Linked DNA regions of Lonchura striata. The protein of the gene in region 1 interacts with the protein of each later gene in a biochemical or structural test. Links are inferred from orthologs where the notes say so. Each region holds a gene or a part of one and is shown in the gene's direction. Other genes may lie near its edges.

Region 1 (7,061 bases):
TTTATTTTTAAATACTCTGAACGGTTTCAAAAGGCCTCTGGTTTCAAAAGACCTCTGGTGCCAATGCAACAGTTTGCTGCCAAAAATCCTAAGGTCATGCATGAGGCATCTGTTAACAGACTGACACTGATGTAGAGTATCAAGGGGTTTTTATTTCTTCTAAAATAAAAAGCAGTAGGAGCAACTTTTGAGTTATTATTAAAGAACTCCAAATGCTGGTATAATACCAAACCACAGTGTTACAAGACAAGACAAAACAGGCCTGTGTAACATGGCAGAAAAAAAAATTGGTTTTGTGTTTTAAGCACTAAACAATGAAAAAAAAAATTTGGCTAGAACTCCATTAAAATTAACACACAAATGAGAGAAGAGACAGCAACAGAGATGGAAAGAAGGAAACAAATTCAAAGAATGAAGCCCCAGGAGAGCAGGCAGTGCACAGAAGTAAACAAAAAAAAAAATCAGAGACGAGAATGGCAATAAGACACTGATAGGGATTTATTCTCTTCTGTATTCTTTGGACATATCCTAATGAAAGATATTTAGATCGAAGTTTCTCCTCTCTTCTTCTTTCTCTAAATATCTAGAGCATTGCTCTGGATGTTTCCAGGTCTACACTACAGAGGGAGTTTTTGGATCTGCTAGAGAGCTCTGAGACTATATCCACAGGAAAACATACATTTACCAACTGCACTGAGAAGTGGATTAAGAAAGTGAAGTGGCCTTGCCTCCACCAAGATCCTTGTTAAGAACCCAGATCAATTTACATTCTAGCAACTATCAACAATATGGGGGAGAGCTACACCCTGACAAAGTTAGTCCAAGTCTGCCCTAAGAGGCAACAGTCAAGTTACCTCTGCTGCTCGGAAAATATTTATGTTATTCTAAAGTCACAGAGTAATAACACCTGACATGAAAAACTGTATGTCTCCAGAAGTACTTGTAACTTTCAAGCATTTTTCTTGCCAATTCTGTTGCCAATGAAGAGACTGTTATTGTGCAAGAGTTGTTCATGACAGTCCAGTAGTGTCACTGCCCACAACAAAAATCAATAATGGAGAAACACGTGATTCTCACTTACTGAAGTGTATCAAGATAACTAGATACACAAAAAAACCTAACAGTAAAAGTCAAGCAGTCAAGCTGACAAAATCACTTCTACCACTCCACAGCACCGACAAAAAAATGAGATTATGACTGGCAGGTTTAATTCAACAGAAGACATATGGCAAAGAGGCCACCTGAGGGAAGAAGATTGCTGGATTTCACCAAGCTGTAAAAGACTCGTCACCATGATCAGATCTGTGGTTGGTGTGGGGTCACACCTGCAAACAACCACACCTCTCAAACCAAAAGCAATAGGTGTGCTACTCACTGCCTTCCAAAGGGCACACATGCACAGAAGCAATTAACTCCCCCCACTGCTACCACGAATGAAATCTCACAAAAATATGGTAAGCTTCTGATGTCTAGTTTTCAGTAGAGAATGATTTTCAAAATTCATCAGCCTGAGACACATGCCAGCTGAAGGAAGAAATGTTGCCTGCTAGTCACAAGGCATTGATCAAGTTTTATCTCTTCAGAAATCACAAAAACCTAATGCTGTCTCCTGCTAAACAGAGCACCCTCCAGACTAGTGCCATCAGCTGCTCCTATGCTTTTGTTAGACAATGAGGATATTTTCAGTTTGTTTAAGAGCATATTCTTCTCCCATCTCCACACAGATTTTCTGCTTAATTCCCAATGTCTAGGAACTGTTCAAATTCTTGCAAAATTATAAATGACAGCAAGCTGCCGTTGGGAACACAACCTGGATGCAAGGTATTACCAAGTGATTCTCAGTGATTTGATTATTTTAACAAGCATAGCCTTCCACCACTATAGCCCATTTTAGACTAATGTGTTTGCCAGCATCCTCTGTACCAGTAATCTCCACCCTACCCACCCCTCAAAAAAACAACCAAAAAAAAAAAAAAAAACCAAAAAAAAAAAAAAAAAAAAAAAAAACACATCTGCCCGCTAAATTAAGGACATACACCATGAACAGCTTTGCAAGTGGAAACCAGTCACGCATGTGAAGCTAATATTTTAGAGAAAATTAGATAATTCAGCTTTCTATTCTATCCTCTACCCGGCCTAACTCTTTCATCCTGTCCGGTTGTGCAACAGCATTTAAAACACACAACGCTACCTCAGGCAGGGTTCAAGTCAATCATTACACAGCGCGAATGTCACCGTTACCTCTACTGTACAGCAGCGGGCATTGAGAGCCAGACAAAACCTCTAAAATTTACCGGTTTTCCCGAAATTTTCACTCCAACAGGTGGAACACAGAAACAAAACAGTGGCGTCTGAAACGGACTGTCCCCACTACAGATAAAATCCGGGAGCGCGCTGGCGGGGCCGAAGCTCGGCGCGGCGGGGCCGAAGCTCGGCGCTGCGGGGCCGAAGCTCGGCGCTGCGGGCCCTCACAGCTCTGCAGAGGGGCGGGACGGGGGCAGGGGGCCCCTCCGCGCTGCCCGCGGCGTTCGCGCCTCGCCGGCCGCGGGAGGGGTTTTGCTGCGGAGCGGATCCCCCCGGCCGCCCCGGCCCCACCGCACCCCGCGGGGCCGGCGGCGGGCAGCCCGCCATCTTGTCCCGGGGGTCCGCCGGGGCACGGGGCTCCATGCGGAGCCGCCCCCCCCCGAGGGGCGCCCCCCGTGCCGCCCGCCCGCGGGCCCCCAGGCCCGCCCCGCCCCTCCGGGCCGCTCAGCCCTCCGGCTCCCGGCCAGCCATACCCCTCACGGCGCTGTTCTGCCCCGGCCCCATGGCTGCCGCTGCCGCTCCGCACCGCGCACGCGCCGCTGCCCAAGATGGCCGCGGGGCCGCCCCCTCAAGGCCTCCCGGCGGGGAGAGGACAGGCGGAGGTTACGGCGTGCGGGACGGGAGGGAGGAGCGGGCAGCGCTGTCACTGGCCCGACGCCCGGCGCAGGGCGCTCAGGGAGGCCTCTGCAGCTCTAACATGGGTGTTGGGCACCCTGTGCGTCCTGCGCACACGCGCTGGCTCGGCGCCGCCGTTCTCTTCTTCTGTCAGTTTTGCTCTGCAAAACGCTTAGAGCAGATCGCTCCGTGCGCCCTCTCCTCTGTAGTTGTGGAAAGATTAAGCGGAAAAGTGATATCCACCAAGTGACAGCCGCCTCGAACCTCATAAGCTTGGGTATTGATGTGAGAACTACTATACCTCAAAAAATTATTATCTAAGTTCTATACCTGGTTAATGACTCTGGGACCTCGTTTATGGTTGGACCTTATAGCAAAGATGTGTACTTATGTCTTTACAAAATGCTTCCGTAGGTGAGGGATGGGTTTTAATGTCTTTGAAATGCACCTTAATGTCTCTACCAACTTCAAGCCACAGGTTTGTTAGAGAACCCAGACAGTGTGACTCTGAAACAAATGGGTTGGCACAAGCCCGAATTTCTGAACTTTGGGGGAAAATTACATATACGAGGGGGGAATATGTGCTAGGCAGTTCGGGAAGGCTGTACCTTCCTAGTACCTCAGCCGGTGGGGAAAGAAAGAGGGCAACGTGCAGCCGGGAGTTCAGGGTAAAAGGAGGCTGCACCCTTCCAAACCTTGAGAGAGAAAATCCTGTGGGTGTGTGCCCCAGTGCACTCTGCGTGACTGCTCCGCACTGACTCGATCTTAAGAGGTCTCTTTCAACTTTAATAATTCTACGACCTGTTCAACAGACTTTTCAACCCACACGTCTACTGCTTCTCTCACACACCATGACGAATATGATACACCTTTTCCCTGTATGCAGTTTTGAAGCTTCACACGGTTACTTTCCTGTTCCTCACCTCTCCGCGTGCCGGCCGCGGCCTTCCCCCCGTGTTCATCAGACACGGACTGACCCCGCGGAGCCCGAGGGGCGGGGCGCGCCCGGCCGACGCTCCCGCGCCCGCGCAGAGCCGCTCCGCCCGCGGACTGCGCTTCCCGGCGAGCCCCGCGCGCGGCCGCGGCCCCGCATGCGCAGGAGCGCACAAAGGGCCCGGCGGCTGCGGCCCCGCCCCTCCCGCTTCCGCGGCGCGCGCTCCCGCCCCGCGCTCCCGCCCCGCGCTCCCGCCGCCTGCTTCGCGCTCCCGCCGCGCGTTCCCATGGCGCTGAAGCGGATACAAAAAGTGAGTGGGGCGAGCCGTGGGAGGGGGCGGAAAGGTTCCCCTGCCCTCGGGTAGTCGCCGGTGCTGCCCCCTCCCCGGTGCCGCGGGTTGTAGGCGGCGGCCGGACCGGGCTCAGCGAGGGGTGCCGCGGCAGCTGCTGCCGCGCGCTTGCTTTGCCGGGACTCGTCCCTGCCTCGGCGGCAGCCGGGGAAGAAGAGTGGGTGCGAGACGGAGGAGGGGGGCTCTCGCCGGCCGCCTCTCGGTTTCGGGACCCTGCCGCCCTGAAGGCCCCGCGCCCCGAGCCGGTGCTCAAGGCGCCGTTCGTGGACCGGGAGCGGGGAAAGCCGAGGTGCTGCCGGCGCCTTCAGCAGAGGCGCAGGACAACATCCGTCGCTGCCGTTGTGTAACGGGGCCGTAGGCTGGGTTAAGAAGCGTTGTCAGCACAGTTCTTGGTGTGACCTTTGAGCGTATCCCAGTGGTGGTGTTTTGGGCTGGTACTTGTAAGGGCCTGGTTGAAGTTGTGGATTCCCGGTTTCCTTTTGTTTGGCAAGGCTGAGCTGACCGCTGTGCAGTACGGACACGGTACCGCGGCCAGCACGGCTGGATTAAAGGTTAGTGCTTTGGCCGTGGAACAGAATCCCTGGTGTTTGGTTGCTGTTGATGTGCCCTGTTAAGGCGGCATTGCTGCTATCCTGGTTATGTGACGGTGCGATTATTTCTTGTGCAGGATTCCCATTTGCTGTCAGAAGCCATTGGTATTGCTGAAATAGGATTCTATAGAGATGGATTAACCCCACGGTAGGCAGATTTGGGATACCCTACAGTAGATCTCAACTTATTTTGGATGGATTTCTCTCAGAAGTTGGTAGTCCTGTCCCATGCTGCAAAGCCTATGCCTTTACACAAAGTGCAATTACAGGACAACTTTTTTCCTTCATATCACCTTTGCCATGGTTGTTGCATTCGACCACTATATCAAATATTAACAAATTACTACAATGGTTTTCTTTAGCAATAACTTTGTCGTGCTTCTACATATTATACAAATGGTTTGCCTCTTGTTGTCACTTTCATTTCCCACCTCTTCTTGAACATCTCCTTGTCCTCAGGTTTCAATAAAAGGATTGTTCTGATTACGATATCTTTCCAATTCTTGTTCAGCTTCTTTCTGCTAAAATAAACACACAAAGGGAGAAGTCTGGTAATCTAGTATTTTTGAGATGAAGTGATGATTTGGGGCTTTCTAAATGAGGTCCTGCTGGAATTGAATTAATTAGTCTTCATACTTTTATCATGTTGCCTGCATAACTTTTTTTCTTCTTTAGAGATGTTTATACATATCGGAAAGCCACAATTTTCTTTAATGTGGCATTTAAGAACTTTTGATAGATGTGAAATTATGGTTAGGCTTTTTATCTAAGTATCTTTCATTCTGTTAGCTTTATTAAATTCTGTTTCTACTCTTTCAAAATGAAGAAATGCTTTCTAACCTGCTGACTGTGAGGTGCTACGAGATTGCCTAGTTATACAATAAGTTCTATCTGAAACATGAACAGATACTGGGTAAGGTAAGTCCAAGAAGAGTTGAGATTAAATTGGAACTGGTTACCACTTGCTTCTAGTTTGCTGCAGAAATTACTACTGCTAGTTTTCTTTTTTTCCCATTAAGTACCCCCATCACTCTCTTCTGCCTTTCCAGGAGAAGAAAAAGAATTCTACCAGAGGGATTTGGCTAGAAGTCTGTTTCTTGAGAAGTAGAAAAGGAAAGGGAATGGCAAGGAAATAAATTTGTTTCAAATGGAAAGTTAAAATGGAGAAGTTTGAAAAGACAAACTGTTATGATGTCATTGTAATACATAAAATTTTCCCCAAAACTATGGAAATGGAAGTTTAACGGTAGATGAAATGCATTTGTATGTTGGTGTGTTTGTCTCACTTACTTTCCTGGTGTTTCAGACTGGCTGTAAAGGTTCATAGTTACGTTGTGTCCGAAGGATAGGAGGGGGTAAGATCTGGAGTAGAGGAAGTGCTGTGGTTTCAAAGTGCCTAGAGGAATTCTTTGGAGAACAAAACAGTGTCAGCAAACACAGCGATATTGCTTGGAGCTCATCAGTCTAGACATACTGTCTGAAGTTAAGCTTTTGTAGGTTTAGGGTGGTTCAGAACAAAGCCAAAGGATTTTAGTGTCAGCTTGAGTGTTTGTTCACAGTAACTTTGATAATTTGTCTGTTCACTGTGATAACACCTACAAAGGAAGCAAAGCTGTAATATGTCAGCCTGTTAGTAAGCATATTTTTTTGTCATACTGTCTGATTTCTAAATAATATCACCACTGGGACCTGTGTCATTGCATCCTGCCTTTGGCTAATCATCTTTGAGGGCTCCTCAAAGGAGGATAGCATGTGGACTTCCAAGACTGTACCTTAGTTACAGAAAGATATATTGTGCTTGGAAGCTTCTTTAAAAATGGGCAACTGAGTAAGCAGTGAAGAAGCTGATCACTGCACATGGAGCTATGTTGACCTTCGTGCTGTAGCTGTAAGAACAGTGAGGACATGAAGCCCTGCTCTGCAGGCACAGCTGTCAGCAGTGTCTCTGTGACAAACTCATCTCAAAGTTCCTCAGGGAGTTTTGGGTCGGGGGATTCTTACTCATCATAAACTGAGGGTCCTGTGTTCATTTGCCTTGTGTGTGTTTTGCTTTGCTGTTGTATGAGAGAGGCACTGAATTTCTATACTGTTAAAAAAGTTCAGTTACACCATCTGTGATGTTCCTTGGGGCACTGAAAGAACAACTGAGAGATTTTTGTGGGCAGTGTAAATTCCAGATGTTGCAAATGATGAAAGCAAAACAAATAATGTAGGTTTTTTAACAGAACAAATATGGTGCAAAGAAGCCTTTATTCTTGCCACCTCTGGA
Region 2 (7,487 bases), on another chromosome or scaffold:
GTGGTCCAGGCAAAAGCATAACAGCACAGAAATTGCATCTGCTGGTGCTGCTGGCACCTGCCAAGTGCTGCCTGTGGTTTGTTTTCAGATAACTGAGAGCTGGGATGCGCTGATAGAGCCAAGACTGATTGTGGAGCCTCCAGTGAACGGATCCAGCGTTGCAAACGGAACATCTAGTGTGTGAAAAGATGTGAACAATTGTACAGATCTGTTCTATGAAGTGCTGTCTTCTGGTTCTGAGGGTGGCAGGTGCACTGATGGATGTTACTGTCTTAAAAGAAGTAGGCCAGAAGAAAAATGTTTTTTTTCCCTTAGGTTATGTTTTTATGTAATACATGAAAACTTTGTTTATTATAGGAAGTCTAATGTAGACCTGTTGGGTTTGAATATTTCTACTGTACCAGGCTGCAGAACTGGAATGGTTTGATTAAAAGATAAAACACAACCCTGTACTGTGAGTAATTGTTTAAATGTCTGGGTTTGGCTAGAGCTGTGTGACTGCCAGAAGTCACTTTCATTTAAAAATTTATTATAAATATTGTTGATGTGCAGAACTGTCCCTCTGCTGTTGCCACAGCATACAGATGCTGTGATGCTGTAGTTACTTAAAGAGTTCACCTAAACATATCCAGAAAAGCATGTGGATTTCAAGGTTTCTGTAATTTTGAGGCAAATAAATAGCACTGGTGACTGTCAACTTTGCTTAGAACCAGTGAAATACAACATGAACCCCTGGCACAATTGTGTCCTGCTGTGTTAATCCATGTAGGCTCTGAAAGCCTTTATTGTTGGTTTTAGAGAAAACCCTCTTGCCCTTTAAGTGATGAAGTTGCTGTGCTGCCTTTCTTCTTCCTGCTTCTTTCCTTTCTTCTTTTTTTCTTCTTTCTACTTCTTTCCAGCAGCACAATGGGTCACCAGGTGCTGGCAAGGCGCTGCACTGACAGCTCTAATAATTATTATTAGCATTGAGGGGGACCTTGTACCTCTGGAGCCTTGGCAAGTCTTACACTTTCAGATAATCCCTGTGCTAGGTAGCTGCCTCCTACAGGAAAGACATGTGAAAAAGCAACCCTAGATACAAAGACCTGAAAATTTGTAGATTATGGTTTAGCTGTCATGTACTCTGACCTAGTGCATGAATCCATTAAAGTTCTGTGCATTTTTGCATCAGCCCTAGTAAAATGCCTTGTTTGTGAAGGAATCGTTTTTATACAAGTAAAATGTATTTGTGTTTTGTGGTTCACTTTAGATACCATTATTTCATGCTAGGATTTGCTTTTTTAGATAACAGTTTGGTTAGATTTGTGTGGCTGTTCTTGCAAACTGAATGAAAAGAGGATGTCAAACAGGAGCACAGTCATGCTCAGACAGTGAGGATTAATGGAAAGATTCTTTTTCTAAGGGAATTGTTACTTGTTAATTCTTAGGAAGTTGCAAAAGCTAAATGCAAATGTTTCACAGTACCTGTTGTTCCATTGCCTCCATTTTTGGCATGATTTTGAGTCCCTCTGGCTGTGCCACACGGGTGATGCTGGAAAATAAATACACCCCTGAGAAGAGAGGGTGTTTTGAAGGTAAAATCTTGAGTTTTATTTACCCACTGTTAGCAAGTCAAATCAGACCAAGGGCAGGCAATCTGAGGGAACTGCCAAGAGCCCTGCCTGTCCCATCCACATCCTGCTCTGAGGAATCTGGGATGGGACAATGTGCACGTGAATCCCACAAGGAGGTGGTGAAACACTGAGCAAACCCTCACTGCTGCCTGTCTGTCCCTGGGGCTCTCCCATCGCTCAGCCCCCTTGCTGGGGGCAGGAATGTGAGGTGCCTTTTATCCCACTGTGCTTCTAAAGCCCTGCTTAAGCTCTGCGGGGTACTTGGAATGTGCAGTGGCTGGGCAAAGGGTTAGTTTCAGTTTGGAATCACAGGAAGTTCTCAAGTATTTGCAAGCAGAAGTGAGTAATAACTTAAATAGCTATTCAAATGCTAGCAATAATTTTTTTATGTTAAAATTTATTGTCTCATAGACAACAGGAGTGGTTGGGCTTTCTCCAAACCAGAATCTCAAGCCATCTTTGACAATGTGGAACTTAAATTGCTCATCTGAACTCTAAACATTCCGTGCCATGCTCCAGAAGCAGAAGCTGCAGTTGTGAGGGTTTATATTTACCTTTTTTATTTGCATACCTTTGTCTATATCAGCTGATTCCATATGAGTGCCACAGAAAATACAGTGAAGGTGCTGAGTGTTTGAAAGATGACAGAGGTTTAGTCCAGATAAGCCCAGGGTGGGCTTATCTGGACTGAGGAACCTGTGGAAAAATAAAAAATGCAAACATTAAGAGCTGCTCTTTTGTCCCATCTCATGCACAGCACAGCTCTCTGAGAGTGTTCCTTTGCCATCCCTCTCAGCCACCCCATCAGGTGTTTACATTTCTTGTAACAGCAGTTACAAAGTCCTGATCAGCACATCCCAACCATGCTGTAAACCTGTGGCACCGTGCGCATTTCCTAGAAACTCCACCCTCGAGCACATGACAGAGCTGATCCTGAACTTTTGCTCCTGTCACAGCCCTGCAGCTCCCAATGCCTCCATTGTCGGTTCTGCGCCTGTATCTGTTACTGGGCAGTGACTCAGAGCCCTGTGACACACAACCCCTCTGCAGCTTATCCTGAAGGAGTGTTAAAAGGCTGGAGGGATAACTGGTGTAGGTACAAGTCCATGTTATCTGTACAACACAGCTTTACAATGATTCTCCAAATTTAATTTAATAGTCCAAAAGAACTGGCTAGGAGCTGATTTCACTTGTAACAGACCACCCAACATTGCTTCTTTTGAGTGCTTTATATTGAGCATGAGCATGAGCCAGCAGTGTGCCCAGATGGCCAAAAAGGCCAATAGCCCCTGGCCTGTATCAGCAACAGTGGCCAGGGAAGTTATTCTCCCCCTGTACTCGGCACTGGTGGGAGCACACCTTGAGTGCTGTGTCCAGTTCTGTCCCCTCAGTTTGGGAAGGACGTTGAGACCTTTGAGCCCATCCAGAGGAGGCAACAGGGCTGGAGAGGGCTGGGAACACAAGCCCTGTGAGGAACGGCTGAGGGAGCTGGGGGTGCTCAGCCTGGAGAAAAGGAGACTCAGGGGTGACCTTATCACTCTGTACAACTCCCTGAAAGGTGGATGTGCTCAGGTGGGGTTGGGCTCTTTCACCAGGCAGCACTGACAGAACCAGAGGATACATCCTTAAGCTGCCCCAAGGCAAGTTTAGGTTAGATGTTAGAAAGAAATTCTTCACTGAAAGAGTGGTTGGGCACTGGAATCGTCTGTCCAGGGAGGTGGTGGAATCATCATCCCTGTAGTTTAAAAAACAGACTGGATGTGGCAGTTAGTGCCATGGTTTAGTTGATAAGGAGGTGTTAGTTTAGGTCATAGGTTGGACTAGATGATCTTAAAAGTCTCTTTCAACCTAGTTCATTCTGTGATTCTGTTTAACTCCTGAACATTCTTGGAAGTCCCCAAGAACTAACGCCAACAAGATGGCCTGCTAATACTTTTAAATTACATTAAAGGGAAGCTCAGCAGTTCTCCACACAAGGTGTTCTTTGCCCACTGGACAAGAGTTGAGAGCACATGGCTCCTTCTGCTGCAGGCCATCAGGTTCTGTTTAAATTATTGGGGGGTCACAGACTTTGTGCCAGGCTGCTCCTTTTATCCCTGCTGCCAGCATGGGTGGAAAAATATAGAGGGTCCCAAGGAAATCCCTGGGACACCAGCAGACAGGGCAGAAGAGGGAGGAGGAAGAGGCCACTGGAACAATTTGTGGTCAAGTTAGTTAAGACAGGAGTACTTGCCATGTTGCTATTCAGCATCAGTGTTCCTGTTAGAAATGGTGATTATTGAACAGTTAGACTAAGAAAAAGAAATCTGAGGAAGCATCTCCTGTTCAGATGGTTTCCACAATCACAAATCAGTAACCTGTGTGCTTTGAAAACGTTGCCCTGACATCACCTGTTGCAAACAGATTATTTTTAAGGTCCTTTCCAACCCAAACCTATGAGTCCGTAGGATTTCCAGCACCCATCTGACCCAAAACTCGGAGCAGCTGGGGCGGTGCTCGGGGCGATTTGGGTTCAGCACTCCCTGAGCCCGGGCGGAGCGCTGCTGTCCCGGGTTGCCCTGAGCCGGAGCGGGCCGGGCAGCGCCCCGAACGCTCCGCTGCGGTTAGAGCCGACCCCGCGGCCCCGGGCACCTCCGGGAACGGTGCCCGGAGCCCCGGCCCGGAGCCCCGGCCCGGCGCTGCCGCGGGGTCCCGTTCCGCGGGGCTGCGCCCCCGGCATCCCGGCGCTGCCCGGCCCCCACATGGGCGGGCGCCCCGGGTTCGTCCCTCGGCTGCCGCCCCTCCCGTCGGGGCGGGGATGACACGCAATTTTCCGGAAAGCCCCGGCCGTAGTTTCGTTTCTCCGAGGCCAGGTTTGCTTCGGGCTCCTGGGGCAGCTGCGGACGGGGCGATGGCGGCGCTGGAGTCGGAGCCGGGCCTGTCGGGGCTGGAGGAGGATCTCACCTGCTCCATCTGCCTCTGCCTCTTCAGCAGCCCCGTGACGGTGCCCTGCGGGCACAACTTCTGCGCCTCCTGCCTGGAGCTCAGCTGGGCCGGCCTCTCGGGGGGCTTCAGCTGCCCGCAGTGCCGGGCCACCTTCGCGGCCCGCCCGCAGCTGCAGAAGAACACGGTGCTGTGCCGGGTGGTGGAGCAGCTCCAGGGCCGCTCCGGGGACAAGAGCGAGGAAGAGGAGGAGAATGAGGGTGGGGATGGGGATGGGGAGGCGGGGGGGTGCTGGGCGGGCGAGCCCCCCGTGTCCTGCGACAGCTGCCAGGAGGCGCCGGCCGTGCAGACCTGCCTGACCTGCACCGCGTCCTTCTGCGCCGAGCACCTGCGGCCGCACCGCGACAGCCCTGCCTTCCGCGACCACCAGCTCTGCCCGCCCCTGCGCGACCTGCAGCTCCGCAAGTGCCCCCAGCACAACAGGCTCTTCGAGTTCTTCTGCAGCAAGCACGGCGTCTGCATCTGCTCCCTCTGCCTGCTCGGGCACAAGCTGTGCCCCACCAGCCCCTTGGAGGAAGCAACAGCCACTGCCCAGGTGAGCGGCCGGGGCTGGCCGGGGCTGGAACATCCTCCCAAGGGCACCCCGGAGCGCCCCTTGCCTCCCTCGGTGCCGGGGGAGCCGCTCTGGAGTGCGGGGAGGAGGCCGGAACAAGACATCGACTGTAAATCTCGGTCTGGCATTGATAAACTGTTATCTGCCTTCCAACATGTGCTCAGGCACGTCCTCAGAGCCATTCCTTCCATTTTCCTCGTCTCTCCAAGATGTTGCTCAAGAGCAGGGGTCTGGGAAGGCGCTGCCAGGGAGCTGGATTGACAGGGCTGGGCTGTCCTAGTCTGGGCTGGGTTTACCAGCGAGGCTCCCATTCTCTGTGGCGTCAGCCAGAGCTCTGAGCCTCCTCTGCTGCTCTGCTCCCTGCCACGGCTTGTCACAGCCTGAGGGGCCGACATTCTGCTGCAGATGTTCTTAAGAAGAAGAATTATAAAGGTATCCTAGGGAGACCTCAAATATGTAGATGAAAGCCAGAAGGAGTAGAAAGGAAGGAAACCTGGACTTTATATTTTCCAGCACAGCTGAAAATCAATGTGGATGAGTGAAGTATGCTGAAAAAGTTTAGATGGTCAAACTCCCATCTGTTCAGTGGGTGTGTACACAGTGTAGCTGCAGAACATAGCCCTGATTGAGCTTAGCAGAATCTTGAACTAAAGGAACAGGTAAATCACATCTAAGAGAACATTCTCAAAAGGAGAGGGGTGAACAGTAGCATCAACTCTGTGCTGGAAGTCTGATGTGAGAGCTAATTTAACATTTATTCTTAGCATGAGAACTGCTGTGCTGATGAAAGCATAGGTCGTTTGTGAAGAGAGTGTCAGCAATGGCAATATGCTCTTGGGAGAGGTGGGGAGGGTGTGGGTGCCACAAGCCATATTTGCAGGATGCTACTTTTGCACCCCCTAAGATTCAAGGAAAGGTAGGTTTTAAGCTGAGAGTACTAAATGCTTACAAGAGTATTCAAAACTGAGAGCAGACATGACAATTGCCTCTCTGAAATACTTTCTGGTCTTTCCTGTTGCAGTCGATGCTGAAGAAAAAACTTGTGGAGCTGCATAACCAGGGTGAAAGAACTGCCCGGGCAATGAGCACGGTGAAAACAAAACAGAACCAAACTGCTGTAAGTGGAGAACTGCTCAGAGTACTGTTGGCTTGCCTGGCACCCGCTGGCCACTGCATGGTGTTGGTGATTTTACCCTTGTGACAAGGGCTGTAGTGCTGAGGCTGCATTGGCAGGAGAAGGTGTTACTGGGAAGCAGCAGAAAAGAGGAGTTTTGGCAGGGCCAGGCAGCTCTGGGGGACATAGGAATAAACCAGGCACTGTGCAATGTCTTATACCCTCACGTGAGGGTGACACTGAGAATGGGCTCCATTCCTTGTGAGTGAAGTTTTCTTTCCAAACCACATAGAAATCGACAGCTCTTCTCTTGCTTGTTTAAAGGAAGAGAAGCCCACATGTTCCTCAGAGGCTTTCATGCAGTAGCACTTAGAGTATTTTGTTTACAAACTGTTGTTTTGAAACCAGTACCTGTCTGCTCTTGTCTACCCCAGGAGACAGCTTCAAGAAAGATGGAATTAATCAGAAATGAGTTTTCAGAAGTTAAAGCTGTAATTGAAGAAAGAGAAAATGAGATCATGAAAGCAATTGCAGAGGAAGAAAAGAGAGTTTGGAATAAGCTTGATTATATTTACAGCGTTCTGGGAAATAAGAAGAATGAGATTCAGTCTCTCAAAGATCAGATTGAGATGGCACTAACTGAAAGTGATGATGTTCTGTTTTTGAAGGTAATGTGTCATTTAAATGTGAATCCAATTCTTCATTCTAGAATGCAGAATGACAAAAACTTCCTGTGGTCATCCTGCTCTCCAGAGACTTGCAGTGAAATGGAAACACAGTGGCGTGCAAGAACCTCCTATCAAAAGATGTCCTGAAAAGTAAACAAGTATCAGTGAAAGAATGTTGAAGGGGTGTTGCTGTTGAGTCAGGGAGGGACGAAAAGACTCCCGTGGTTCAGAAGGCTTAAAGAATGTTTATTAAGTAGCAAGTACTTTTGTAGTCTGACTCACTAGGGTGGAATACGATTGGTGTCAAAGTAAAAACCTTTCACACTATTGGTGCACACTGTGGTAGAATATGTCTATAAAAACAACATGAACAGAAAGAGAGATAATAATTGTTTGAATTCTTTCTCCTAACTTTCCCAGGCTGAAGCCTGAGAGAATTCTCTCTGTTCTCTCTTCGACTGAGCTGAGAGCCTCCACAAAGGGATGTCTGGTAACTCTCCCAGTTCAGCCACTGCCTCTGCCACAAGCAGAGGGGTCACTGGGCAGGAGTTACGTCT
Region 3 (7,253 bases), on another chromosome or scaffold:
GTGCAGACATCCAAAATCAAACCCCAGGCACTGGGAAATCTTCTGGATTTCCTTTTCCCAGCATGGGAACTCTGTATGTCTCTGGTGGTGGAGAAGAAAAGCTTTTTCCAGAGATCCTGCCTGCCTCAAGGAATGCGGGAGCAGGAAAGAGGCTGGGTGGGATGGGAGGTTCACCCTGAATCTGCAGGCGGTTTGTGGTGTGGGGCACCAGCACTTTCACAGCATTTTGGTATCACGAATCAGGGCTTGTCACGAGGAGATGCTGCAAGTTCTTGTGGAGGCTGAGTACATGTGGCTGCTGTCCCTGGCTTCTCCCAGCCACGGCTGTGGGGCTGAGGTGGAATCAATCAGAGCCTGTGGATGCTCCATGACAAACTCCCTGTGCCCAGAGGCGATGCTCCCATAAATCCTGTAAGCATGTGCTTAACTTTGGGGAGCAAGGTGATTGCAAGGCAATATTTTATTCTTGTCAGCTTCAGTGTTAACAGTTACCAGAATCACTTGGGTAATTAAGCTCTTGTAAGAATAAAGTGAAAAAGCACCAGGTGTCTATGGAGATCTAAATCATTTTTCAGAGTGGGCAGAAGAGCAGTTTTTGGCTTTCCTCAGTAGCTGGAGTCCTAAAATCCCCAGAGACAGTGCAGATCCCCTCCAAATGAGGTAAAGGCAGCAGCCCTGCTTTTCTCAGGTACATTTTGGCAACCACCTACAAGAAACTGGTGGGTGACCAGGGCTTCGTACGTGACCATTGATTGGAAATTTCAAAATAAAGAAAGGCCTTTTGCAAAAGGCATGGCTAAAATTTTATTCCAAAAGGTATTTTTGAGATGCATTAGTGTAACTGTTGCTGGAGTAACCGGCTGCAAAATGCTGATGCCTGTCTTGCAGTTGGGAAAGATAAGGCTGGGACTGTAGAAGGTGAACTGATTTCCTTTATCTGTGGGACGTCATTGGGATGATCTCATCACTGTTTATAAATATTTATTACTGGGATCATAGCATGGTTTGGGTAGGAAGGTAGGTCCCTACCTCTAAAAATATCTTGTTCCAGCACCTGCCGTGGACAGAGGCACCTTCCACTAGCCCAGGGTACTCCAAGCCCTGTCCAACCTGGCCTTGGACACTTCCACCATCTCCTCTGGGCAACCTGTTCCAGAGCCTCTCCACCCTCACAGGGAACAATTTCTCCCCAGTATCCCATTGAACCCTGCCCTCTGGATGTGGGAAGCCGTTCCCTGTGTCCTGTCCCTCCATTTCTTCCCCAAGTCCCTCTCCAGCTCTCCTGGAGCGCCTTCAGGCCCTGGCAGGGGCTCTGAGCTCTCCCTGGAGCCTGCACCCCCAGCTCTCCCAGCCTGGCTGCAGAACCTCCTTTCTCTGGGCTCCATGCAAGACTCTGGGCTGAGCTCTGCAGCTTTGGCTAGGGCCAGGACAGGGCTGTGGGGAAGTTCTTGGAGCACCTGGAGATGGCCAGTCCCTGTTCCCAGGAACAGCTGCTTCCCAAACACGCACCCAGGTCTGTCCCCGAGGGGAAGATCACCTCAGCCAAGGATTTTTGTGTTCAAAGCTACCAAAGTTCAATAAAGCCAAACCTCATTGTTTGATCAGTGCCTTTCTTGGGGTCCCGTGTTCAAATGAGCAGCCCCAAAATGGCTTGTGCCTTGTCATTGTTGGCCAGGAGCTGGGCATGCCACCAGCTGAACAAGACTAGCTCAGAGTCCCAGGGGGTGACACACAGTCCCCCGTGGGGAAGAAGCAGCGGGTGAGGACCTGGAGCAATCCCCTGAGCCCACACATGATGTGTGAGGTGGGACCAGCCTGGCAGATGTCCAGATGGTGCATCTGGAGCTGAACCAAGTGAGGGCTACTTACATTTATGTAGGGCAGGATGATTAAAGCTCTGGCCTTTGCAATTCCACCTAAGTTGGGTAATTAGAGAACTGGCTTTATTGACTGGGTAGCATGGCATGAGGCAATGAGCATGCCCAGTCCACACCCCCTGTGTGCTTGACCTGAGCAGAGCAGAGCTCAGGGTGCTGCCTGTGTGTCTGAAGGTACAGCCGGGTACCCAGCAGGGATTCTAGAGACATCTCCCAGGCCATTGGACACTTAATCTCCCCGGACCCCTGAGGGCACCTGCATGTGTAAACCCCTGTCACTGCAGCCATCATAATGCTGTGTTTCAGCAGGAAATAAACATCCTTTGGGATGCAGCTTCTAATTTTCTTCCTGTTTCACAAGGGATTTGTGTGAGACAGAAGCAGGAAGCAGGATCCTGCTGCAGCAGATGACTCCTGTCCCAAAGAGCTGATGAAATTTGTCACACCTACACCACATACTACCCTGATGAATCTCATCTTCATCCTGGCAGAGTAACGTCACCACATCCAGATGACCCCACTTCACTCTGAGAAGGAATTATTCCCCAGGGCATGAGGAAGTGGAAGGTGAGCACCAGTGGGAGAAGGTGGCCCTGGAGCCCTCCCGGGGCTGTGCCAAGCTCTCACATCCATGTTGAGCAGTGGTGGAGAGGGGGGAGCAGCTGGTTCTCCTCTGGGCCAGACTGCAGCCTTGTTTCCAAGCCAACCGGAGTTCCGTGAGCTCCCTGAATGGCTGCAGACAATGAGCCCAGCAAGCCTCCTCCATATCAGGCTGAGCACAGCTGATGCTGGAGGCAGGGAAGGCTGAGACAAAGGGTGCTCAGCCCCTGCAGCACCTCAGTGCCCATCCTGCCCTTTGCTAGCAGCTCAAGTTCAGGTGAGAGGTTCTGGCAGGGATGAGACCACGCGGGAACAGCATTTCTGAACTGCCCAGGGCACTTCTCAACCCAGAAGGTAAAAAAGTCTATCCCTGGTCTGGGGATGAAACCTCAGGTGTTTTTCTCTCTGCAAAATGCCAAATTAACAGAGAATAAAGGGAATCAAACCTGGCACCAGTGAAAACCCAGTAGCACCATCTTCACAGACCAGAAGGCAACACTGGAGCACAGTGAGGGTCATCCCAGGGGTGGTGGGCTCATATTTATCCCATGGAATGGTTAGAAATTTCTGCCTGGAGGGTCTCAGTGCAATGTTATTCTGATTTTGAGGCAGTGCAACCTATTTTCCTATACCTTTCCCTCACATTCCCCTCATATTTGTATCACATTGTCCTCACAAGTCGCTTGCTAGAGACCACTCAATTTAATGGTTGCATTGGGAGTCTTCTCCACACTTGACCCACAGTACACTTCAGAAGGGCTCCATGCCCCAGCTCCACCTCATGTCTCATCACTGGGCAGAAGGAGAAGCTGGTAACCCTCCCAAACCTTCTGCTTCCCCACCCCTCCAGCTTCATCAGAACTGTAGGGATAGGACAGTATAATGGGTACAAACTGAAAAAGGGACATTTTAAGTCACATACTGAGGAGAAATTGTTCCCTGTGAGGGTGGTGAGGTCCTGGCACAGGGTGCCCAGAGCAGCTGTGGCTGCCCCTGGATCCCTGGCAGTGCCCAAGGCCAGGCTGGACAGGGCTTCGAGCAGCCTGGGACAGTGGAAGGTGTCCCTGCCCATGGTAGGGGGTGTAATGAGGTGAGCTTTAAGGTCCATTCCAATCACTTAATATTTGTGGCACCAGGAGCAGCTGAGGGAGCTGGGGGAGCTGGAGAAAAGGAGGCTCAGGAGGGACCTTCTGGCTCTGCACAACTCCCTGGCAGGAGAGGACAGCTGGGGAGGTCAGGCTCTGCTTCCAGGGGACAGGACAAGAGGAGACGTCCTCAAGCTGTAGACTTGAGGTTAGGCTTGGGTTGGACATCAGGAGGAATTTCTTCATGGAAAAGGTTGTCAGGCATTAGATGGGGAGATGGTGGAGTCCCCATCCGTAGAGACGTCCAAGGAAGGACTGGACGTGGCACTCAGTGCCGTGGTCCGGTTGGCAGGATGATGTTGGGTCTCAGGTTGGACTCGACGGTCTCGGCGATCTTTCCCACCACAGCGGGTGCGGTGTTTCCGCGGCGCTTCCCGCCCGCAGCCGCCCTGGCGCCGCGCCACACTCAACATGGCGGCGGCGGCATGAGGCGGGCGGGGGCTGGGTGGGGGCGTGTCGCGCACCCAAGATGGCGGCGGCGGGCGGGGTGAGATGGCGGCGGGCGCGCAGGCGCGGGCGGGCGGCGGTGACGCGCGGGGCGCGCGGTGACGGAGCGCGGCGGCCGCGGCCCTTTGTTGGCGGCGGTTGAGGCGCGGCGGGGCCGGGCCGGGCCGGGGCCAACGGCGGCGGCGGCGGGGCCGGGCGCGGGGAGGCCGCGGGAGCCGCCGCCGCTCCCTCAGCGCCTCGCCATGGACTCGGACGAGGGGTACAACTACGAGTTCGACGAGGACGAGGAGTGCAGCGAGGACAGCGGCGCGGAGGAGGACGAGGAGGACGAGGAAGAAGACGAGCCCGACGATAATCTGGACCTGGGCGAAGTGGAGCTGGTGGAGCCCGGGCTGCGCGTCGGCGGAGAGCGCGACGGGCTGTTGGGCAGCGACACGGGCGGGCTGGGCCCCGGCGGTGGCGGCGGCGGCGGTGGCCTGGGCGGCGGACCGGGCCCCGGCGGCGGCCCCGAGCAGGAGGAGGATTATCGCTACGAGGTGCTGACGGCCGAGCAGATCCTGCAGCACATGGTGGAGTGCATCCGCGAGGTCAACGAGGTCATCCAGGTGCGGCCCCCCGGCACCGGGACTGGGGCGGACGCACGGGGGAAGGGGCGCGGGGGGTGGCGGGCCGGGCCGGCGGCCTCCTGCGGGCACCGGGCCGGCCCGTCCGCGGCCAGGGCCTCACACACACTTGCCGGTAACCCCCGGGGCTGGAGGGGGCTCAACTCGGTATCCTCCGACGCTGGAGGGGTGGGGGGACGCCTCCTCTCGGTACACCCTGGGGGTGGAGAGGGCTCCTCGTCACCCCCGTCTCCCGGGAGGCCCCTCGGGCACGGCTAGGATCTCGCTTCCTGCTGTGGAAGCGTCGGGAACGAGGCCTTTGGCACTGAAAGGGCTCCTCTTTGTGTGGTGGCGAGCTGGGGGCCGTAATCTATGTTTTTGTCTTTATTCCGCTCCGTTCTCATGGTGTTTGGCAAGGTGTAGCTCCTCCAGCTCCTTCGGTAACCCGCGGAGTCCATGGCAAGCCCTGGAATTCCAGGAGAGGCACCGCTCTGGTTTTGTTGCCGTCTCCCTTCCCTTCCCCCCTCCACGCATAGAGGTTGAACCTTGTGTTTATTTCCAGCAGAGACCAGGAGGGGTACGAGCAATCCCTTCACAACCGTAACTTTTTTTACTCTCAGTCTTTAAGCCTGTCTCTTTAAGACTGAAATAGAGTTTGAAATAACATTTACCTTCTTTAGATCAAAGTATCTAAGTCTTATTTCTTGGCTCCTAAGTTTTTTGGGGAAAAAAAACAAGCCATTGAAGCGGTTTAGCATCCCTTTCTAAATGTTCGTGGCAAGGTTCGGCTCTAGCTCACCATCAAGTTCCTGTTGCAGTTCACTTTTCTTCAGGTGATGGGATTTCTTTAGTTCCCATATACTTTACGATTACTCAGAGTCGGTAGGCAGTGCTACCCTTTTCCAGTATGCCAACGGGAATAGCATGAGAAATCTGTGCATAGGAAGTAATGAGGGATCCAGTGTCCAGAAAGGAGTTGTTTTGCTGGTTGTGTGTGTTGGTAAATCTCTTTAAACACGAGATGCCTCAGTGAATGTTTTTTCTCTGGCTGTCCTCTGCAGTGGCTGTAACAGCAACTTTAAAATATTGCTTTATGTGCTATAATCCCCTGTAGTTTGTACAGAGCTTGATGCAAACAGCTGTAAAAATATTTGCATGCTAAATTAGTAAATGGCATTCCTTGAGTCAAATTAAAGTTTATAACTTTACTGATAGCATTGCCCATGTAAAGGTGAATAAAGGAGTCTGCCCGGATTAGCTGATTACCCTGCAGTTAAAGAAGATCTCATGGTTAAACAGGGATGTTTATTTGCTCCTAGTTATCGATCCTGATGTAGGGAGGGAAACAGTTGGCAGGCAGACATGCAAACAGTGGGGACCTTCAGCTTTTTACTCTTTCAAATAGTCATTAAAATAGTGAGTCTGTGTTTAATGATTAAGATTGCAAAAGTCATGGCCCATTCTGTTTGTATTGAACAGACTCTGCCATATTCCTTATCTTTGCATAAGACAAGTGGTGGAAAAGTTGCTGCCAGTGAAGAGCTGAGAGTGTTCCTGCTCCTGAATTTTCCAGACCCAGCTGGTGGACTCACCTGCATATTCTTCATGAACTAATTTGTTAGAGAAGGTCCTGATTACTGGTCTGAGTAGATTTGCCCTCCTCTTACACCACCCTGAAGCTGTTTGACTTGTGTGCTCGACCTGTGAGTTGCAGAAATAGTGGAGAGAAATGGGTTGAGGTGATGAGCCCCTTGTTCTGTCCCATCCCCGGGGTGTCAGCGGGAGGCCTGACCCTGTGCTGGGCTCTGCAGAACCACCCCCCTCGACCTTCCCGTGGCTTCTCTCCTGCTCCAGTTGCTGCTTGGGGTTTGCAGTAGTTCCTCCTGGTTTAGCAGAGAAGGGTGCACAAAGTCTGTTTAGATTGTCATGGGTTAAGTCGGGGCCCAAAACCAACTTAGGCCCTGGAATGCATCAGGAGATATTAGGAAAGCACTCGGTTGCCCTGGATGGCTGTTAAATGCCAGCTTCCTGCCATTAGATTTCTGGGCTCTTCCGAGGTAAGTGGCCTGACTTCTGCCGATACTTCAGGAGTTGCTCATAAGTTGCTCATCCTCACTCCTGTGGCTGCTGGTGAAATCTTCCAGGGCTCAGTTCTGTTTATTTCCTTGTGTTTGGCAGCCAACCAGGATTGCTGCTGCTGCTTTTCTGGTTCAGTAAACCTTTTCTGGAGTCACATTGGCTTGGGATCCTGCTGCGGATTCTGGGTTGCTGAGCTGTGATTCACTTGTTCCAGTCAAGTACTGGATGGCTTTTGGTCTGTGTGTGTCTGCCGTGGGTTCTTGTTAGCAAATAGTGATGGTTGTGGTTACATTTTTGAGTGCTTTGAACTTACTTGTTCAAGGGAGATGTAATGTACAGCCTGAAAACTTCAGCTGTGGGTCTTGTGCTCTCTAATGGGTGATTTTTTTTTTTGCTGATCAAGTGTAAGGTATAAATGGGGTTTTGTTTTGCAGCTGCAGTGAAAGGAAAATAGAACAGGGACCCACAGAGTATTTGCAAGGAGGTATCTGAGTCATGGCAGG
Region 4 (6,931 bases), on another chromosome or scaffold:
ACACTGAAACAATTGAATGGGAATTTTGCCTTTTATTTTTTATTTTTTATTTTTTATTTTTTATTTTTTATTTTTTATTTTTTATTTTTATTTTTGCTTTTTTTTTTCCTGAGGAAGGTGGGCAGAGTGCAGGGGGAAAACTTGATGTTTCGCAGTTTATGATGAGTTTCTGTTCTCTGCTATGCTCCTCCTCCACACAGCCATCCCAGAATTCAGCCAATTTTCCACCTGACACTCAGCACAGGCTGGAAGACTGAGCCAGTTTTCCTAATTTTTCAGTGATGCTGAGCATCCTGCCCTAGATATTGTGTGGAGCAGTCACGGGAGGAAGAGGAGAAACCCCAAATCCCCCTCAAAGAGCAGAACTGTTGGCACAGGATCACGGTCTGTCCCTGCCTGCTCCTGCTACCCTTCATTCTTATTTTTGCTACATTTCCCAGCTGTTTTTCAGTGCTAAAAACAGCTGGGAAGGAATAAAGAGGAATCCCCCTTGGGCTTGGATTCTCTTAAGCTGTGGTTCTGTTTTCTTCAGAGGAGAAATAAAGCGTGGAACCGAATTTCCTCAAAGTTAATTCCCCAAGCTGGGATGTAGGTCACGTTGCTTTGTCTGAGGCTGAGCTGAGCTCTAAATAGAAATTGGTTTTTTCCCTGAAAAGTGGGAGCACGCTCATCCCTGCTGCTTTATCCAGGTCATTGCCTCCGAAGGTAACACCGGTGCCTCTTCCAGGCTCTGCTTTTAAGGAGAGGATTCTCCAAAACAAATTTTTTTCCCCTGTATTAAACATGCAAAACAGGACATGCACTTGGGGGAATTATTTTATATTTTATGATTTTGTATATTTTAGAATGTATACATTCATATATTTAATATATTTATTGTTTTATACAATATGTATTATTAATATAATTATTTTTATTATATACAAGATCATATTCTATATTCTATATTGTTGTCTATTATATATATTTATCTATTTATATATGTATATATATTATGATCTATTATATATGATTATTATACTATATATACACACTATTACTATATATATACTATATATACTATATTATATATATACTATATATATACACTATATATACACACTATATATATACACACTATATATACTATTATTATATATACTATATATAATATTATACTATTATATTCTATATTTATATATTATATTTTTGTATTTTATATTTTATTTTTATATATATTAAAATATATTTATATATATAGATATGTAGAATGATATTTTATATATAGATATGTAGAATGATATTTTATATATAGATATAGATATAGAGATAGATAGATAGATAGATAGATAGATAGATAGATAGATAGATAATTTAAAAAAAAATATTTTATAGAGATATTTTATACCTGAAAACACATTTTGGGCAGCCTGTTTTCCCCTCAATCACCAATACATTTTTATCCCACCCATACATTTTGATCTCATGAAATATTCACCTTCCAAGAACATCACAAAAGCACCGAGTGGCCCCAGTTTTCCACGTGCCAGGTCTGGAAGGTGCAAAATATTAAGGAGATTTTTTTGGGAGGGAAAAAAGGCAATTTTTTTTCCCCAAAAAAACCAAAAAAAGGGTAAATGCACATAGCCTGGTGACCCTGGAGTGGCTTCCATGGCTGCCCGGAGGTGCAGAAGGAAGCCCATGAATATTGAATATTTCTATGGAACAGCGGCATCCAGCGGGCAGAGAACGATTCCTGCTGAAACCCTTGGAAAACCGGGATAGGAGCACGGAAAAACAGAGGTTTCTCCCCAATATTCAGTGCTATTTTCCTTCAAATCCAAGCTGTGTTTTCGTTGCTGCATTTTGGGCTGGTGATATCTGATAAAGTAACGTTGCAAATAGTCAATTTTATTTTTAATTTCATTTTTAAAAGAGAGACTAGCTTGATTTTTTTCAAATTTTAAACAATTTATTTTAATTTTTGTTTTTAGAGAGAGATTAGCTTGAATTTTAATTATTTTCAACTTTAAACTATTTAATTTTTAATTTCTATTTTTTAAAGAGAGATCAGCTTGAATTTGAATTCTTTTCAATTTAAAAACATTTCGGTTTTAATTTTTATTTTTTAAAAGAGAGATTATCTTTAATTTATTTTTTTTTAAAGTTGTATAATATTTTGGTTTTATTTTTTAAAGAGAAATTAGCTTGGGAAAAAAAAAAACCCAACCTGACATAACTCAGAGCCTGGATATGCAAGCTTAGAACAAGCACTGACAAAAGTAAGTGCTGAATTATCTCAGTATTTATTGAGTGAGCCCAAAACCCTATGGATGGATCTCCACAACTGGTGCTGACTGCACTCACCTGCATTCCTCTTTACATTTACACTAACGTAAATAATTTTTACATTTACATTAACATAAATTCATTTTTACACCTGCATTAACATAAATCTGCCTGGCAAGAACCGAGCTGAGGGAAGACCAGAGCACGCTCTGAGCACATCCCAAACATTCCCTGGCACTCCCTTCTCACCCTCTGGCCAAAGGCCGATGGAAAACGCCGTGCCAGCACCAAGGCACATCAACCCCCTGGTTCCAAAATTCACATTTTTCCAGTTGGTGCGTTTAGCTGGCCCGGCCAACGCAGAGGACGAGGGACAGCGAGTCCTCCAGGCTGTACGGAGCGGCAGCAGCTGGGTTTGCACCGGTCCTTTGCAGCCTGCAGCCCCAGAGTTCAGGCTCTGACGCTGCCGCAGCCATCGGCTCTCTGCGGCGCCCACAGCCGCTCCGCCCGGCCGCGGCGGGCGCTGCCCCGGGCTTTCCCGCATCCCCGGGCCGGGCCGGGCCGGGCCGAGCCGAGCCGGGCTGAGCCGAGCCGGGCTGAGCCGGGCCGAGCCGAGCCGGGCCGGGGCGAGCCGGGGCGAGCCGAGCCGGGCCGAGCCGAGCCGGGCCGAGCCGGGCCGAGCCGAGCCGAGCCGAGCCGAGCCGAGCCGAGCCGGGCCGAGCCGAGCCGAGCCGGGCCGGGCCGAGCCGAGCCGGGCCGGGCCGGGGCGAGCCGGGCCGGGCCGAGCCGGGCCGAGCCGGGCCGGGCCGGGCCGAGCCGGGCCGAGCCGAGCCGGGCCGAGCCGAGCCGGGCCGGGCCGAGCCGAGCCGGGCCGAGCCGAGCCGAGCCGAGCCGGGCCGGGCCGGGCCGGGCCGGGCCGAGCCGAGCCGGGCCGAGCCGAGCCGGGCCGGGCCGGGCCGGGCCGAGCCGGGCCGAGCCGAGCCGGGCCGAGCCGAGCCGAGCCGGGCCGAGCCGAGCCGGGCCGGGCCGAGCCGGGCCGAGCCGGGCCGAGCCGGGCCGGGCCGGGGCCGAGCCGAGCCGAGCCGGGCCGGGCCGAGCCGAGCCGAGCCGAGCCGGGCCGGGCCCGGGGCTGCCGTGAGCTCCCGTGGGCTCCCCTTGGGTTCCCCTTGGCTCCCCTTGGGCTCCCCTTGGGCTCCCGTGGGCTCCCGTGGGCTCCCCTTGGGCTGTCCGTGGACTCCCCTTGGGCTCCCCGTGGGCTCCCCGTGGGCTCCCCTTGGCTCCCGTGGGCTGCCCGTGGGCTCCCCGTGGGCTCCCCGTGGGCTCCCCGTGGGCTCCCCTTGGCTCCCGTGGGCTGCCCGTGGGCTCCCGTGGGCTCCCGTGGGCTCCCGTGGGCTCCCGTGGGCTGCCGGGAGTTGTAGTCGCAGCGCCCGGGGCGGAACTACAGCTCCCGGCTGCCCGCGGGAGCGCAGGCGGGGCGGCCCCGGGGCCGAGCTGCGGCGGGGACGCGGCCCTGCCCGGGGACACACGGGCCCGCGGCGGGGCTCCGGGACACACGGGCCCGCGGCTCCGGGACACACGGGCCCGCGGCGGGGCTCCGGGACACACGGGCCCGCGGCTCCGGGACACACGGACCCGCGGCGGGGCTCCGGGACACACGGGCCCGCGGCTCCGGGACACACGGGCCCGCGGCTCCGGGACACACGGACCCGCGGCGGGGCTCGGGCAGGGCTGTTTTGCCGCAGCCGCCCCGGCAGCAGGGCGGATCGCAGCCCCCGTGCCCGGCTTCGCCCGCGCTCTCCGCCCGCCCGGGCGGGGATGGAGCAGGGACGGCGCCGGGCTGGTGGCTCCGGGGATCCTCGGCTCTGCCTCGGCGCTGAGGTACGTGCCCGGCTTTACACCGCGGGGAGTGTTCCCTCGGGATGGGGCAGCGGCCGGGGTGCTTCTGGCCTCTTCACCGGGGTGCTTCTGGCCCCTTGAGCCGGGGTTCGGGTCGCTTTAGCCGGCGTGGTGCTGGTCCTTCAGTCACAGTGGTTGTGGCAGCTTTAGCCGGGATTGAGGCCCCTATACCGGGTGGTTCTGGCGCCTTTAGCCCGGGTGGTTCTGGCCCCTCTAGCCGGGATTGAGGCCCGTATACCGGGGTGGTTCTGGCCCCTTTAGCCCGGGTGGTTCTGGCACATTTAGCCCGGGTGTTCTGGCCCCTTTAGCCCGGGTGGTTCTGGCACATTTAGCCCGGGTGTTCTGGCCCCTTTAGCCCGGGTGGTTCTGGCCCCTTTAGCCTACGTGTTCTGGCCCCTGTAGCCGGGATTGAGGCCCGTATACCGGGGTGGTTTTGGCACCTTTCAGCCCGGGTGGTTTTGGCACCTTTAGCCGAGCTGGTTCCATCACCTTTCGGCAGGATTGAGGCCGCTTTAGGGGGGTGGTTCCGGCCCCTTTATCCCGGGTGGTTCCAGCCCCTTTATCCCGGGTGGTTCTGGCAGCTTTAGCCAGGATTGAGGCCACTTTAGAGAGAGTGGTTGTGGCACCTTTATCCCAGGTGGTTCTGGCAGCTTTAGCCGGGATTGAGGCTGCTTCAGCCGGGGTGGTTCTGGCAGCTTTAGCCAGGCTGGTTCCATCACTTTTAGCCTGGATTGAGGCCCCTTTAGCCCGGGTGGTTCTGGCCCCTTTAGCCCAGGTGGTTTTGGCCCCTTTGGCCCGCGTGGTTCTGACCCCTCTAGCCTGGGTGGTTCTGATTGCTTTAGCCTGGGTGGTTCTGGCCCCTTTGGCCCGGGTGGTTCTGTCCCCTTGGCCGGGACTGAGGCCGCACCCGGCGCTGCTGTGCTCCAGCTTTCCCGGTGCTTTCCTGGGCGCCCTGGAGGTGGGAGCAGCCGTGCTGTTCCGTGCTGTTCCCATGCTGTTCTGTGCTGTTCCCGTGCTGTTCCCGTGCTGTTCCCGTGCTGTTCCCGTGCTGTTCCGTGCTGTTCCGTGCTGTTCCCGTGCTGTTCCCGTGCTGTTCCCGTGCTGTTCTGTGCTGTTCCCGTGCTGTTCCCATGCTGTTCCGTGCTGTTCCGTGCTGTTCCGTGCTGTTCTGTGCTGTTCCGTGCTGTTCCCGTGCTGTTCCCGTGCTGTTCCGTGCTGTTCCCATGCTGTTCCGTGCTGTTCCCGTCCTGTTCCTGACAGGTACTGCAGGTAAGGCCGGGCTGCCTGAGCTGGGGGCAGCAATTCCTGCTGGGAATTTCATTTTCCCTGGAGCATGTGAGGAAGGAAGCTCGAAGCTGAGGCACATGGGGCTTTTTCTCTGCCGTGTTTCTGGATTTCCAGTCTGCCTGAGTGGAGGCAGAAAGGGCCAGACTAAATAAATAAACCCAGAGAAGTTGGTGCAGCTGTGCTGGAGGCACTGAAGGTGTTTGCTGTCATTTCACTGCCCATGCTCTGCTGCAGAATTACTTTCTGAATGTCACAAATTCTGATTTCTACCTCATTGAGAAGCAAGTGAGCCCTGGCTCACCTTCATGGAGGTCACTTGAGCTTGGCTTTACTGCTGAACCTTCTCTCTTTTTGGCTAAGAGCCTCATGACATCCTCTGCACTTCTCTGTTGCTATAGGAGGAGTGTATTTGGCTCAAATGAGATACCATTTTTATTTCTCCTCTGTTTAGAAACTCCCTGGTTTCCTGAAACTGCTTGCTGTGAAGAATGATGCAGTTGTTCATCCTTCTAGGACTTTCCTCCAATGCTTGATTACCTGTTGAATTTTTCATTCATGGTTTCAGGATCTGGAGGAGTGAATTGTCGAGGGATGCAGCTCCTGTAAATAAACCACATCTCACATTTTTATGGTGGGAATGATGCTGTGTGACAGGCAGATAATGGAGATAAGAAAGGGGAAGCTTCCACAGCCTTGGAGGAGCTGGAGAGGTTCTTGCCCTGTTTTGAGCTTTGCTTTCTGCTCTGAATTCTGGGTGTGTAGATTTGAGTCTGGAGCAGGTGACATCTTTTGGGCACCTGATGGTTCCTTTAGTAAGTTCTTTTTTAACTTACAGGGCAATATTTGGGTATCAGATAACTCTCTGTACTCTCAGCTCTACCACTAACAGGCGTTAGTACCTTACGCCTGTTTTTCAGATTATTTAATTCTGTGGTGGAAGATCAGGAGTTCCTTTAGGCTGCCTGCAGCATTATTAACAAACTGTCATTTACCAACATCACCACAGGCTCTGTTTTATTGAAGAGTTATTTTCTTTTTAGGCTTCACAAAGGTGAATGTGTTTCCTATGCTCTCCTCTTTGCACAGCACAGCTCTGTGAGTCACTGCCATGAGAAGGAGCTTCATATTTGTGTGATACTTGGCTCAGCACAATTCTCTGCTTATTCTGATTTTGCTGTACAGCATCATATGTTTTGACATTTATTTTGAGTGCATGTTTGGAGCTCTGTGCCTGCGAAAATCCTGTGCCAAATCCGTGTGTGAAGAATCTGTTATTCTCCTGCTTTGGTCTGCAATGGGCACTGCTGGGATTGTTTGGAAGAACTGGGATGCCTTTTCCACTAAAACTTTGTCAAATGTCTGGGAAACTGCAAGAAACTGTGGGAGTACTGTAAGTGTGGTGATTGCAGTTGTCTCCTTCCCTTTTTTCTTGGGAAGAGGGATGTCCATGGCTTTTTCAGCTGCCTTGATGTGGAAGTGG

What was found.
Region 2: the proteins of UBE2D1 (region 1) and TRIM25 form a complex in vitro, tested with the Homo sapiens proteins (8 studies listed by BioGRID). The link is inferred for Lonchura striata from reciprocal best matches to the Homo sapiens genes UBE2D1 and TRIM25.
Region 3: the proteins of UBE2D1 (region 1) and ARIH1 form a complex in vitro, tested with the Homo sapiens proteins (4 studies listed by BioGRID). The link is inferred for Lonchura striata from reciprocal best matches to the Homo sapiens genes UBE2D1 and ARIH1.
Region 4: the proteins of UBE2D1 (region 1) and MIB2 form a complex in vitro, tested with the Homo sapiens proteins (2 studies listed by BioGRID). The link is inferred for Lonchura striata from reciprocal best matches to the Homo sapiens genes UBE2D1 and MIB2.

Annotation. Positions count from the first base shown.
Region 1 is NC_134609.1:2,765,067-2,772,127, forward strand, and holds the start of UBE2D1 (ubiquitin-conjugating enzyme E2 D1), read left to right. Parts: upstream 1-4,055; 5' UTR 4,056-4,139; coding exon 4,140-4,163; intron 4,164-7,061. Other genes in the region: CISD1 (CDGSH iron-sulfur domain-containing protein 1), read right to left, coding at 2,778-2,808.
Region 2 is NC_134621.1:7,694,454-7,701,940, reverse strand, and holds the start of TRIM25 (E3 ubiquitin/ISG15 ligase TRIM25), read left to right. Parts: upstream 1-4,470; 5' UTR 4,471-4,503; coding exon 4,504-5,130; intron 5,131-6,169; coding exon 6,170-6,265; intron 6,266-6,696; coding exon 6,697-6,930; intron 6,931-7,487. Other genes in the region: COIL (coilin), read left to right, coding at 89-184.
Region 3 is NC_134613.1:6,955,096-6,962,348, reverse strand, and holds the start of ARIH1 (E3 ubiquitin-protein ligase ARIH1), read left to right. Parts: upstream 1-4,238; 5' UTR 4,239-4,311; coding exon 4,312-4,674; intron 4,675-7,253. UniProt on the Homo sapiens protein: E3 ubiquitin-protein ligase, which catalyzes ubiquitination of target proteins together with ubiquitin-conjugating enzyme E2 UBE2L3.
Region 4 is NC_134626.1:2,459,604-2,466,534, forward strand, and holds the start of MIB2 (E3 ubiquitin-protein ligase MIB2), read left to right. Parts: upstream 1-3,914; 5' UTR 3,915-4,146; intron 4,147-6,931. UniProt on the Homo sapiens protein: E3 ubiquitin-protein ligase that mediates ubiquitination of Delta receptors, which act as ligands of Notch proteins.